2 linked regions of the Coturnix japonica genome follow. The protein of the gene in region 1 purifies or fractionates together with the protein of each later gene. This does not show direct contact. Links are inferred from orthologs where the notes say so. Each region holds a gene or a part of one and is shown on either strand. Other genes may lie near its edges. The genes, in order: GOLPH3 and FAM20B.

Evidence for each region.
Region 2: the proteins of GOLPH3 (region 1) and FAM20B purify together in Homo sapiens (affinity purification with mass spectrometry; 3 studies listed by BioGRID and IntAct, with this or other methods). This does not show direct contact. The link is inferred for Coturnix japonica from reciprocal best matches to the Homo sapiens genes GOLPH3 and FAM20B.

What each region holds. Positions count from the first base shown.
Region 1 is NC_029547.1:8,894,363-8,896,998, forward strand, and holds part of GOLPH3 (Golgi phosphoprotein 3), read right to left. Parts: intron 388-2,636; coding exon 1-387. UniProt on the Homo sapiens protein: Phosphatidylinositol-4-phosphate-binding protein that links Golgi membranes to the cytoskeleton and may participate in the tensile force required for vesicle budding from the Golgi.
Region 2 is NC_029523.1:5,510,262-5,514,088, forward strand, and holds part of FAM20B (glycosaminoglycan xylosylkinase), read left to right. Parts: intron 1-1,853; coding exon 1,854-2,045; intron 2,046-3,809; coding exon 3,810-3,827. UniProt on the Homo sapiens protein: Responsible for the 2-O-phosphorylation of xylose in the glycosaminoglycan-protein linkage region of proteoglycans thereby regulating the amount of mature GAG chains.

The sequences.
Region 1 (2,636 bases):
CATTTGTGTTGGCTTTCATACATTCAACCTCAGGGTCTAAATCCAGAAGCTGCCGCACTCTCTTTGTGGCTAAATCATACTGCTCATCCAAAAGAGGGGCAAAAGCGTTCTCCAGAACATCTGAAGCATGGGCTAAATAAACCAGTGCCAGCAAACGCTTGTCCATGCGGTGCGGGTCATTCACCCATTTGTCAAGAACTGCCTCCTGAACCTTCTTGATGAGGCGCTGTTTGATGTTGTTGTTGGTGAGAGGATGCGTAGTCATGTCAAAAAGAAGGAAGTTCTGTTTCTCTGTTGTCAGTACACCTTTTTCCACTAGATTTTTAGCTAACCGTTCACGGACATTTCGTAACTGGTAGTGCAACTTTAACGGGTTCCATGTTTCACCTAAAAAAACAAACAAAAAAGCTAGTCAGGCAAAAACTAAGCTGAACTACACAGTGATTTTTTTTCCCTGTGGTGCAGAGTGAGCTGTCAAATTCATATAGCTGACTACTACCGTAAGACAGTGTGGGCATGTCAGCATTTCTCTGATCCCTGACCTATCCAGACACATTAATAAGGACAGAAACCATGAGAACAAATTTGAAGAGTTTCAGGGTATGTTTAAAGTTGGGATTAAATGCTAGCTAAGTCATGCCTTGACCGAGAATACAATAAATAAGCACTCTTGTACTGATGGAGAACAGTCACAAAGAGTTTTAATAGTAATAACAAAAACATTTATTATATAGAATTTAAAAAGCACTTCCTCCATCCTTGTCCATTTAGAACAGAGTAGGTGAGTTGGAAGGAACCTTCCAAGTTTGTCTAGACCAGCTGCCTGACTTCTTCAGGGCTAACCAAAAGTTAAAACATATTTGTCTGCTTCCAGTATTTATCAATTCAGAGACTGGAAGAACTGTCACCACCATTCTTTCTGCCATAAAGTTAAGTTTATGTGTAACTACCCTACATAACTGTTTATTCTGTATCCTCGAGTTTATGCTCTTTCCCCCATTTCCGCTCCTCTCAAGGGCACTTCAGAGCACATGTATGCACTTAAGAGAAGGGAATTTTTAAAGCACAAAGTATGCCAACAGCTACATATGCAGCTGAAGTTGTTAAGCACTGAGAAATCCATCTTTGTTTAAAAGTTTACTTTGCCTAAAATTTTTAGGTATAGCTTACCTTGGTGTTTCAGCATTAAGATCTCCTCCTGATATTAAAAAGCCACTGCACTTTTACAGGTGAGGAAAGATAAACAGCATTGAACATTTCTCATGTAGAAACAGTTTTTCTGTAAACAATATAACAACTTCTACAGCAGTGTGTTTCTATTTTTCTGTTACTTTTCAGTAATAATAAATAAAAACACAGAAGAATTTAAGTCTTTCCCACTTAGTTCAAGGTGACAAGCTTTATGCAAGTAACAGCCAAGTCAAGTAAACAAATGGGGTGACACCAACTGCATCGTAAAAGTCCTGTAGGTCCCACTCTTTACTGCCATGGGATTTTACAGCTTGACCACGAATGAAACTATCACACACCATCACCCCCCAAATGGCAGTGTCCTTTCAGCTCTTCACAGAGCAAACAATTCTTCTTAGATGCTTCTAAATCTGGTATGTGGATGCGCCTGTGATAATAAAAACTAGTACTGTGGTGACACCTTGTGACCAATCTCTACCACTACACATTTATTCCAATACAGATGGATGGATGTTTTTAATACAGGGAGACTTGGCTTTTTGACCCAACATTCTGTATTCCCTGTACTTGCCTCTCTTTGAGGTTATCTTATAAGCAACACCGGCCTAGCAAATGTAGCTTCAAACATCCATATAAAGATTTCCACAATGGTTTTGAACTCATACACATTGGAACAGAAGCAGTATTCTTGCACTTCTGATAACGACAGCTGGAACAACTGTTTTCCCAGGATCAGGTCCCAGATTAAAGAGCTCTTTTAAAACATTCTTCAAACAGCAGTTCTCAACCATGAGAAATGCAAAATACCCTAGCACCATAGAAGAACCAGTAATTACTGGTGCAAGCAAAAAGGATTGATCTAAGTCTCAGCCACTGCACTAATGGTAATAATTTTTCTTAGAGCCAAAGTTTATCAGGCTCATGCCCCAAGGAAAACCTACAATATATTTCAGTTATTGCATAAACTTCTTTGAACCAGCACAAACTTGATGTTGTTAAGGCGAAATGTCTGTATTTATGAAAAGAACTGCCTTTACAAGCTGCAGAAGTGAAGGAGGGCTGGGCAAGAACAGACTAAATCGTGAGGATGTGCTGCAGCCCTGCCCCCTACTGACAAGAACTCTTTCATTCTCTCTACCTACTGACCAACACTCACAGAACTAGAAAGAAGGAATGGAAAGGACTAAGTATGAACTGTGCAGGAGAACATGAGAGAGCAAGTAAGGCTTATTGAGGTAGTACAGGAAAAACAGAAATACAAAGAAGCAGAGAACTGGACAAAAAAGCCAGTATATGCTATTAAATGTGGCTGTTGATCAGCTTAAATTATACAGCCCATGACTACAGCTGTTGGAGAGTTATATTAAGAGTTTTAACTGCAATTGTAAAAATGAAATCAAACTGATGTTTTTCCTTTTTTTTTTTTTTTTCCCAAAAAATGTTTA
Region 2 (3,827 bases), on another chromosome or scaffold:
TGGTAGAATTGGATTTCAGAGTAGCAGATACTATCTCCTTTTCAACCAATCAGAATCAGCTGTATTTAGGACATGGTCAATTACAGTATTAACCGACTGAATTTCTTGGAAATGTGTTCTTTATTGCTTTTTATCATGGACTACCTGCTTATGTGGGGTTCTACCTGTGCTCACTTAATATATGCTGTAGTTTAAACCTGACTCATTCAGATTGCATGGCTCTGTTGTTCCACATCTTACTGTGTTGTGCATTTCACTTTGAGGGCATCAGGAGAACGAAACATTCCAGATGTCTCACTCCCTTTTTTTCTGCTTCTGGTAATTACGAAAAAGTAACTGTAGGAGTTTTCTTCCTGATCTCACTGCTTATACTCTGCCCTCAGTTGGCCTCTTGAACATAATTCATATAGTGCCATTAGTCTCCATAATTTTTAATGGACATGTAATAGATAAAATACATGACCTTCAAAGTCCAAGGCTAATTAGATACTAAGAATGAGTAATAGATGTTGGAGAAAGATCTGTCCTGAGAATTCAATGAAAAATGGGAAGAACAGAGCATAGCTCAACATTGTTTCAGATATATTTAAGTACCAATCCAAAGTAAAATAGAAACGCTTGAAGGGGAGAGAGTAGGTAGTGTTCTAAGTACAAGGAATAATGCATTCTGAGGCATTTGCCTTGTGGGTTTGTGCTGTAAATTGAATACAAGTTTGACCTGGATGCAAAAGAAAAATGGAACTAGAGAAGTGCTAACAAAAGCACTGAGAAGGTAATTTTGTGATGCTTTCCTTTTGGATAACTGGAGGTAAGATGGGATATTGGAGCTTAGAGTCCAGGCCTTTAGAAGGTGAGGTTGGTGTGTGTGACAGCTCTAGTTGTTAAATTCTGATCTTCTCTCAGCTTTTATTAGTCTGCACATTTTTGAGCACGTCAGTCCTTCCAGCTTTTGTTTCCTCCATTTGTTTCCAGTTTGCAGATGGTTTAAGGCATTGCCAACTGCTATTTTGCAAAGGATCGTTTCATTCTTTACATGGAGGATGTTATAGATGTACTTGTTATTTAGGTTGACAGATGGAAAGGAAATATGCCAGAGTTCTGGCTGATTTGGTGGTGGTGGTGGTGCATAGCTCTGAAAACTGTGAAGAAGGAAAGGGGAAAATTTAGAAACCGAGCTTTGGGGAATGGAGATGTGATATTTATGTTCTAAGTCTACAGGTGTGTGCACATGCTATGTGCATAAGAAAAGGAGAGAACAGAGAAGCTTTGAATCTTGCCAATGGAGAAGGTGAGAGATTCCAAAAGAAAAGGTGCAGAGGAAAGAGGCAACTATGAGTGAAAGAACGAGCATACGTGGGGCCCTTCTCTTTAAGCCAGTGGAGATCATTAGTAACTATGAAGAAGTTATTGCATTAGACAGGAAAACAGTCAGGAGGTAGCTGGAAAGCAAAGCTGATGGGAGCAGATCGTAGCAGTAAAAATAGCCGTAGTACTTGAAATCTGGATGAAATGAGAGCAAACCAGTCACGATGGACATCCATCCATGCCATGAGGCAGCCTGAACACTGCTGGCTTGCAATCAGTGAGTAAGCAAACTGGCTTGTTCTGTGGGAAGACGATACGAAACCTTTCATTAGAACTGTGACTTGCTCTGTACAGTAAAGCGTTAACATAGGTTTTATTCTTCTGATGACATTTTTGTCTGACTCTTTCTTCTTTCAGAGCCTTGATTTGCTGCACTCAACTTTTCTTTAAGCACTGATGACTGAATACTGGGATGGCTGTAAATACTTGTGGTGTGCAAGGATGGATCTTTCTCTTGATTTAGTTTGATTTCTCTTGCTGGCCTACAGGTGGGAATATGATGAAAGCTATTGTGATGCTGTGAAGAAGACTTCACCCTACGACTCGGGCCCCCGTCTGCTGGATATCATTGACACAGCAATATTCGACTACTTGATTGGGAATGCTGACCGGCATCACTATGAGAGCTTTCAGGACGACGAAGGAGCCAGTATGCTCATCCTTCTGGATAATGCCAAAAGGTGAGAGTAGGGGAAATCCTGGTGGCCGGGCCTCAGCAGGTGTGAGGACTCGCATTTATCTGCTCTCTCTGTTTTCTGTCTTTCTCTTGCTTACTTTTCTGTTACTAATTGGTTTTTGTTTTGTTTTCCCTAAAAATCCAAAGCTTGCTTTCTTAATACTCACAAAATATTAGGTACTTTCAGAGGCTGTGGTACTTTGTGCTCTGCTTATGATTGTAATGGGTAAAGCCTTAGTCAAACTACAGGAACTCCCAAATTAATCCAGTAGAACTCATTTATTAGAAGCAGCATTTTAAAGGTTTGTTTGCTTCTCCTACCACAGACCCCCTCTCAGTTGTATTGTCTTAAGCAATGTTAGGTTATAGGGTTTGCTATGTGTGAGTGCTGTGGTATAAGCAGCTCCCTTTATAATGTTGCTCTGGGTGATCTGGCATTCCGTGCCTTCTGGATCTGTCTGCTATATCAACAGAAGTTTAAAATGACGATAGAACTGATACTGAAAGCAAAATATGGTAGAGGAGGAAAAACATACTTTCAGGTACATTATTAGGAATGCCACTTTTGCAGAACCACATGTTGGAAAATATTTAAGGGACTTAATAAATCATTTCTTTATATAAAACATGAACTGTTATCAGGACAAAAATGAAGTGTAGTAGTAACTGGGAGGAACTGATGAGAAGTCCTTCCTGAGGCCAACCTTTACTATTGTGTCTGCTCTTTCTCCATTTCACTTCCATATTATGGACTCCTTTCCTTCCCTCTTCCTTTGCTTCTGATGTGTCTGAAGGAGCTGAGCTGAGCATTTTGTCTTTATACGCTAGCCTTTTCAGTAACACTCCTTCAATTATGTCAGCAGGATGTGTTCTACCTTGAGATTGCTAAATTATTGCTGTGTTCAGATTGCTCGAGGTGAATTTGGCAAAAAAAAATGGCTTTCTGTAATGCATTGGAAGTGGGCCGGGAGGATGCTAATTTGTTAGTCCCTGGAAGTGAACGTAATAGTTGAGGATCACAACAGACCTTTCTTTATGGTGTGTGCTCATGGTGTTACAGAAACACTTCTGGTCGGGCTTTACAGGCCAAGAAGTAAATTGATTTTTTGAAAGCTTGGGTAAAATTCTTTCTGCTTCTTTGAGATTAGTGTAGGGAAACAGCTTCTTAAAGCCACTAACAAGAGAATTGTTGGAGCAGAGTAGTGCCGGACTCATAAGGTAAGTTATCTTTACTGAGGGGAAAGTTCTTTGTTGAAAGCAATGTTAAGGTTAAAATACAATTGAATTCTTTTGGCAGATCTCCCTTAGGGTGTGTGATCGTGAAGTATTAAGCTTGATCACCGTGTACACTGAACTGTTGATCTAAACTTGGCAGTCTAAACTAGCACGTGGCTGCTGTGTCACTCATTCCCTGTCCAGCTGTATCAGACAAGCAAAACTCATGCCCTGTGTCCAGAGTACTACTTACTGCTTTCCTCCACTTTACAAGATGAACTCCATTCCTCAGCTCCTCTAAGGTTTGTTTCCTGAGGTGCCTTGATCTGATAAAGAACTGGGTACACTCGTGTTTCTTCCATGTGTCTGGTGTGTTAGCTGACACTTGAGGGTTATATCTGTAATTGGTCATGACCTGTTTATATTCTCATTCAAATGACTTGAGCTATTGGAGCATGAAATTGCCTAGTATTGATTTTTGAGTTCTTTACAAATCTGTTGATGTTGAGAGCAACATTGTGTTCAACTCATTTGCTTTTGTTTTGCTTTTCAGCTTTGGCAACCCTGCCCT